Linked DNA regions of Ovis aries. The protein of the gene in region 1 interacts with the protein of each later gene in a pairwise test. Links are inferred from orthologs where the notes say so. Each region holds a gene or a part of one and is shown on either strand. Other genes may lie near its edges. The genes, in order: FOXR1 and PPCDC.

Region 1 (3,912 bases):
CATCACCCTGGTGGTCCAGTCCACCATCAACTCTTGTCTGGATTACTACTATAACTTCCTATAGAGTTTCCTGGTTCCCAGTCTCTCTACACTTCAACCAGCAGCCACAATGATCTTTTCAGACTATAGATCATTCAGGATAAGCTGTGTAATTTGCAAGTGAAAATGAAGTCACTCAGTCATGTCTCATGACTCTTTGCAACCCCATGGACTGCAGCCTACCAGGCTCCTCCATCCATGGGATTTTCCAGGCAAGAATACTGGAATAGGGTGCCATTGCCTTCTCCAGGAGATCTTCACGACCCAGGGTTTGAACCCGGGTTTCCTACATTGTAGGTAGATGCTTTACCGTCTGAGCCACCAGGGAAGTCAAATGTGGGGTTCCTTGTTCAAAAATTATTAAAAATCTTGACAGTGATAGCAGGACATTAAACCCAGTATAAACACCCTGTGTAATGGCACAGGTCACTCACTATATTGGCAATCAGGTCACTCCACTGTTCTAAACCTTTCAACGGTACTAAATCTTACTGCTGCTACTGCTAAGTAGCTCCAGTTGTGTCCGACTCTGTGCGACCCTATAGACAGCAGCCCACCAGGCTCCCCTGTCCCTGGGATTCTCCAGGCAAGAACACTGGAGTGGGCTGCCATTTCGTTCTCCAAATCTTACTGAGTCAACCCTAAGGCCCTGAGAGGGGAAGAGGGCTCTTCCTGACCTCTGCTCTATGATCCACACCCTCTGAACTCTTCTCTTTATTTACTTTGATCCAGCCTCACTAGCCTCTTTACGAGTTCCTCAAACACTCCAGGCATATTTCTTTCTGAGGGCTTTCTACACGAGCTATTTCTTCTGCTTGAGAAACTTTTCCTGTAAGTATGGTCTAGCTCACCATCTCACCTCCTTCAGTTGTGCTCAAATATGTTCCTGGGACTACCCTGGTGGTCCAGTGGTGGTCCATTGGCTAACACTTGGTGCTCCCCACGCAAGCGACCCCAGTTCAATCCCTGGTCAGGGAACTATATCCCACATGCCACGACTAATATATATAATATATATACACACATACATACACACACACACGTGTGTGTGTGTGTGTATACATATTAATATAAACTGCCTGTGTGGTCCCAGTAGAATATCAGCTCCATAAAGAGTTGTCTCTTTTGCTCATGGTGTATCAAGAGTATCCAGAACAGTGCCTGGGGAAATTGGAGGTGCTCAATTAATATTTCTCTTTTTTTTGGCCATGCCTTGTGGCATGCAGGATCTTAGTAACCAGGGATTGAACCTGGGCCCCCTGAATTGTGGAATCTTAACCACTGGACCACCAGAGAAGTCACTTGATAAGTAAATATTTCTGGAATCAAGACACAGGAATGTTCAGCATTACTCATGGTGACAAGGAGTTCCAATGGAGTTTTGTCTCCTTCAGTAAGGAAAATTAAAATACAAAAAGATAATATATGCAGATGATAGAATATCACACAGCTATCAGAAATGATGAATCAGATCTTCATTTAGCAACCCCAAATTACTCTCAAAAACATTGTGAATGGGGGGAAGCAAAGAGTATTATTGTACAAGTAAGGTTACCTATAAAAGCAAAATAATGCTAAACAGTTTTCAAAGATACATTTATCTATAAAGACATTAAATGGATTGGGAGTGTGGGAAGTGAGGAAAGAGAGTGGGGACTGAAGGAAGAAAATGAGTTAATCCAACTACTTTGCCCAAACAGATGGCAATCATATATCAAGAATGTAGTAAGCAATTACCTCAACTCTCAGCACCTGAGAACCAAACTAAAAAAAATTTTTAAGACAACGGTCAACTATCCATACAGCAAATACTGAGCGGCTCTAGGTGTCAGACGATGTATTAAGAGGGGATACGGCCACAGACAAAATTGATTTTAAAAATCTTTTAAAAGAGAAAGATGATGGAAGATCAGTAGTGTGCCCAAAGGGCCTGGGCGCCACGGAGAAAAGGCTGAAAAGAGACCTAGAAAGTTTTGCGACGGCGCCCGTGAACGAGGATGGAAAAGCAGTGTTCAGGCAGGCCCCTGCCTCCCGTGGGCTTCCAGTCGAGGATGGGGCCCCCCTCGCCTCTTGGGAAAAGCAGGGGCCGGGTAGCGGCGCCGCAAAGGGGGCAAGGAGTCCAGAATCGCAACATCGTAACGGGGCTCGTGAGGGCGGGCGGGGCGGCGAGAGCCGGAGCCCCGGCCTGGCGCGCCCGCGAGCGCCCCCTCAGCCGTCGCGGCGCGCCCACGCCCCACGCCCCCGTCCAGGACACTCACGGTTCTGTTCGGCTAAGGGCAGGTGCGACGTGGCGAAGGCCAGAAAGGACTCGTTCCCCATGTCCCAGTCCAGCAACCCCGGGACCTGGCCGTGGAGGCTGGCCCAGAAGTCGACGCGCTGCAGTTTCAGGTCCACGGTTAGGGAGAGGAGGGCCAGCCAGCTCAGGGTGGGAGAGCCGGGAGAGACTGAGGCTGAGGCCTGGGAGGCACGGTCTTAAATCCCCTGGCGCTGATTGACTTGAGTGGAGCCCGCTCAGGTGGGCCTCATTTGGCACCCTCGCCCTCTCGGGCCTACACTGAGCGCCCCCCCCACCCCCTCGCCTTCTCCACAACCCCTCCCGCTTTCACTTTGGGGTTTGGGGACCTTGGGGATTCAGAAGGGAGGGATCCCAGGCTCTCTCTCCCCTCTACATTTACCCCAAGCTCTTTTTTTATTTGGTAAATCAGTCTACCAATCAAGAATGATCCTATGATGGTATTAGTAGCTACTTTCTAGAAGTTTGGAGGATTTCATGGTTTATCCAAGATCGCATCTGTAAGTGTAAAATGGAGATGGAATTAAATGGTGGTTTTTATTATTTTGTCATTTTTTTGGAATGGTTATTCTTAAATTTTGTTTTTCATACTTTCAAACTTACAGAAAAGTCCCAAGACTGCTATAAAAATTCCAGTATACCTAAGTCCTCTAACCAATTATACCAATTATTAACGTTTTATCACATTTTTGTTTTTCTCTCTGTGTAAGACATACATTATCTTTTTCTGAACTACTCAAGAGTAATTTGCTGTCATCATGCCCCTTTACCCATAAATACTTAAGTGTGTATTTCCTGAAAACCAAGCTATTGGTTTACATAACCAGAAAATCAGAAATAAGAAAATTAAAAAACTTAACAAGGATTCAATAAAAGTGAAAGTGGCTCAATCGTGTCTGATTCTCTTTTTGTTTGTTTTGTTTTGATAGGTAAGAAGTAGATTTATTCAAATTCAGAGAGAAGCACACAGAGTGTGGGCCATCGCAGAGAGCGAGTGCAGCTGTGTCTGACTCTCTGTGACCCAGGCCAGAATACTGGAGTGGGTAGCATTCTCTTCTCCGGGGGATCTTCCCAACCCAGGGATCGAACCCAGGTCTTCTGCACTGCAGGCAGATTCTTTACCAGCTGAGCTACCAAGGAAGCCCTTATGGGTTCAATACTGTATTTAAAATATAGATCCTATTCAAATTTCACCAGTTGCTCCAATAATGTGCTTTATATGACCTTGCTTTATTATCTAGAATCCAACTCAGGATCATGCAAGGCATTTAATTTTTATGTCTCTTTAGCCTCTAATCTGGAGCAATTTCTCAGACTTAAATCTTTCATAACATTGGCATTTTGAAGAGTACAGGCCATTTATTCTGCAGAATGTCTTTTAGTTTAGGTTCCTGTTTCCTCATAACTAGATTATGTAATTTTGGCAAGAATGTCAGAGAAGAGATGCTGTTTCCTTATTAGTACATCACACCAAGAGACCCGTGATGTCAGTTTGTCTCATTATTAGTGGTATCCATTATGTTTTTCAACTGTGAAAGTACCTTTTTTTTTTTCTTCTCTTTTGTAATTAGTAAGTAATT
Region 2 (3,912 bases), on another chromosome or scaffold:
TCTCAATCTCTGCTCCACATCAGAGCCTCAGCCAGGGCCATGTTTGCCCACAGCAGAATTGAGTCTACTCTAAGGCCTGGAGAGCTGTGTTGGCAGCTGACAAGGCTAGAGGGCCTATCAGCCAGCCTCTTCCCAGAACTAATCTGTGTGCTAATCAGCATCCAGGAGGCACATTCTCAACTCTCCAGAAAAACCCATCTGCCAAATCCCAAACCTTGACCCTTGACCCTAGCATACAACCAGGCCTAGGAAAAGAGAGATTCCTGCAAAATCAGAAACTGAATTTAAAATCTCCTCCTGGTGGCTCAACAGTAAAGAATCTGCCTGCAATACAGAAGATTGCCTGCAATGCAGGAAGCAGGTTCAATCCCTGGGTCAGGAAGACCACCTGGAGAAGGAAAATGGACAAAATCTCATGGACAGAGGAGCTTGGCAGGCTACAGTCCATGGGATTGCAAGAGTCGGACATGACTTAGCGACTAAACCACCAGCACCAGCACCACCACATCAAACTGATATAATTCCTAAGGAACAGGTTACTGAAAGCAACCAGTTAAATCTGGGGCAGGAATTCATGCTGGTGACTTCAACTGCTTCCCCACAGCAGGTGGTACAGCCCAAGATTTCCTATTAATACTTAGCCTGCTGAGCAATCTTTGTTAAGGACCAAACCCTAAATATCCTTCTAGAAAAGAAGAGGGAGGGGCGATATGTACTTTGGAGAGTAGATGATTTAACCAACATCTGAAAGCAAGGTCAAAATCAGCTCAAACTGCCAGTCCCATTGAGGGCAACAGTTGGCAGGAGTTCTCTATGTTTACTCTCAAAGCTATCTGTAGACAGCACCTCATCTTCCTGAGCTCTGCTGGACTCACAGGAACTCTTGAGCAGCAGAAACAGCTGGTAAGCAGAAAGGCCAAAGGGCTGAAAGCTGTGATTACTGAGCCTCAGGCTCCCGGGGTGCTAGCCATGCAGGCAGCAACATGCATGCAGCCACAGCCAGAAAAATGACAAGTTTCTCTGTCCTTTGAGAAAGACAAGGCCAGACAGATAAAGAGCCGCAACTTGTGGCAGCCTTGTGACGTGTAAGTCTCCTTTTCAAAGAGTTTAATTAGGGCAGAGTTAAGTAAGTTTCCGGAATGCTTGCCAATCACAATACGGGCAAGTGTGGAGCCAGGGCAGAACCAGGGCTTTAAAAAAAATCCAGATTGCGGTTTCAGGCCAGCCCAACCACAAACAGGAGCTGGGGCCCAGAAAAAAGAACTGAATTTGGGTGAGTGGGCAGGGAACCCAGGACTCTCTGGCCTGACATCAAAGTTCCTCACCCCTGGCCCCAAGATTATGCTCTTCACTTATCTCCCACCAGTCAATACAACTCTGCCCAAGTACCACCTGCAGCTCCTGGCAGTAGCACTCTTCCCCCAAACCCAGTCATTAAAAGCAGTGGCACAGCTGCAGGAGCACTTTAAATCCCTTCCTTCAAGGAAAGGCAAGGAACTCTTCAGGGAGAACTCAAGGTCTTGACATTCTGCTAAGACTGCTCTTCTCTCAAACCAGAAGCAGGCAGGCTTGATTCTGCAGCTCCTGGAACCCCGTTAGGCATCCTTCCTCAAGGCCACAAGTTGGGGACACGTTACATTCAGGCTTCCCAGGTGGTACTAGTGGTAAAGAACCCCCCTGCCCTTGCAGGAGACGTGAGACATGCAAGTTCAATTCCTGGGTGGGGCAGATCCCCTGGAGGAGGGCATGGCAACCTACTCCAGTATTCTTGCCTGGAGAATCCCATGGACAGAGAAGCCTGGTCCATAGGGTTGCACAGAGTCTAACAGGACTGAAGCAGCTTAGCACTCACACATTAATATTACATTCACACGCGGAGGCTACTAACAAGGGAGTGATTTGGGAACTGCTACCTCTCAGCCACTAGGAGAGATGAGGACAACTTCTGCTCCAAGGTACCCATCACTTCCCCAACTTGGGAATCTCTCCTGCCTATTACCTGGCACTGGCCTCCAATACTTCAAAGTGCAGCACTGAAGTTCTTCTCTGACAAAATTTGGCCTCACTCTCACTTTTTAACATCATTCAGCACTTTTAGAGTGCCAGAGGATAAGTGCAATATCCCAGGGCTTTCCTTTTTCTGTTGTATCAACTTGTAAAATGGTTTGTGCCTTGGGCCATCCCCTTTCCTTTTTGAAAGTAGGCTCGGGTTTTTTTTTTGTTTGTTTCTTTAAGGCAAGAGGTAAACGTAGGTAACCGATAGGGCTACCTTTTATAAAACTAGATTAAAGGGCCACCTTTTAAACTAAAGGGCCCTAGGCAACTGCAGAAGAGCATAACTCAAGGACGGGAGGGCACATACAGAAATGCACCACTTCATAGTATACCTGTAGCTGATTCATGCTGCTGTTTGGCAGAAACCAACACAATATCGTAAAGAAATTATCCTTCAATTAAAAATAAATTAATTTTAAAAAATAAATGCCCCACTTCAGGGTGGAGCTGGGAACAGGTCCATAGCGCTCCGGACCCATAGACTCCACAGCCCCTACACACACACTGCTACACACACACACACACACACACACACACACACACACACACACAGAAAACCGGAGATCGGCAGCAGACCCGCAGCGGCGAACAAAGATTCTTGGGCACCAATAGGAGAGGAAGGACACAAATGGACACACGCACCCACATACACGGAAACTGAGGTCACACAAAGAGGTCAAAGTCGCCAACGAAGCTTCCCCTGCCTCCTGCTTGCCCCACCACGAGACACCTGCCTCCTCGGTTCCCCCAGCCTCCTCACCCGCGCCAGGCGCGTCTCGGAGCAGCCCCAAATATCGCGGTATCCCGGTCGCCCCTCCCGCTGATTCTGCCTGGCATGCAACTTTACGGCTGCCGGAGGCTGCCTCCGCGACCGCGTAGCCTTCTGGGAGTTGTAGTCAACTTCTCAGCCTTCCAGGAACTGTAGTCCACTCGGGGAATCCCACCAAGAACACCGGTTCCCAAGTTCTTGGTATTTCCTGTGTTCATCTGGGCCTGCCAGTTGTCTGACCTCTTCATCCCCCCAGCCCCACCCACACTGCTTATCACTGCAGTACTTAATACTTTTACTGAGCCTATCTTCTATGTTTTTTGTTTTATTTATTCATTTATTTTTGGCTGTGCCAGGCCTTAACTGCTGCATGCGGAATCTTTTAGTTGCAGCATGGGGGATCTTTAGCTGCAGCAATGTGAACTCAACTCTTCCTCAGGAAACTCAGAACTCCTAACAGGCAGAAGGACTCTGTAGCAATTTCAAGGCTGCCTCAGAGAAAGAACTACACAGAAGTGTGTGACTTTTGAACTCTGGGAATGACAGGCTACAGGCCCATGGACCCACCCTACTTCCATGCCCCACAGCCCATGGCGAGGCTCCACACAGGCCCTCATGAAGACACACGACACAGCAGGACACAGAGGGCCAAATGTTCCCCTTTATTATGGTTCACTCAGTTTCCACAGACAGACACACTGGCTCAGGCAGCTCAACTGCCAGTTGGAGAATAGTCTGTGTTTCCCAGAAACAAGGAGGGGCAGAGGGCACCAGCAAAATGCAAAAGCAGGTCACTGGCCAAAGACCTGAGGATTCCCAGAACTAACCTCAGCCTTCCTGCACCCCACCCTCAAGCCAGACCATCCAGCAGAGATGAACCTGTGCCCAGCCCCCACTTCTGGTTCGGTTCCCTCCCCAGGAAAGTGCATAGATGCCTGGAGACGCAGCATCCCAGGGCCTGGACAAGCTGGGCCACACGCAGGTATAGCAGGTCTTCCGAAGGGCAGAGCCAGGGCGTGGCCATACAGGCCTGAGCCAGGAAAGAGCAAAGGCGGGTAGGACAGGAAGCTGACGGGAAGGAGCATCCA

The links.
Region 2: the proteins of FOXR1 (region 1) and PPCDC interact in binary tests that used the Homo sapiens proteins (3 or more experiments, as listed by UniProt). The two-hybrid records come from large-scale screens. The link is inferred for Ovis aries from reciprocal best matches to the Homo sapiens genes FOXR1 and PPCDC.

The regions. Positions count from the first base shown.
Region 1 is NC_056068.1:29,288,135-29,292,046, reverse strand, and holds the start of FOXR1 (forkhead box protein R1), read right to left. Parts: upstream 2,489-3,912; 5' UTR 2,359-2,488; coding exon 2,298-2,358; intron 1-2,297. UniProt on the Homo sapiens protein: Transcription factor which acts as both an activator and a repressor.
Region 2 is NC_056071.1:31,351,601-31,355,512, forward strand, and holds the start of PPCDC (phosphopantothenoylcysteine decarboxylase), read right to left. Parts: upstream 2,852-3,912; 5' UTR 2,790-2,851; exon of another isoform or gene 2,698-2,789; intron 1-2,697. UniProt on the Homo sapiens protein: Catalyzes the decarboxylation of the cysteine moiety of 4-phosphopantothenoylcysteine to form 4'-phosphopantotheine and this reaction forms part of the biosynthesis of coenzyme A.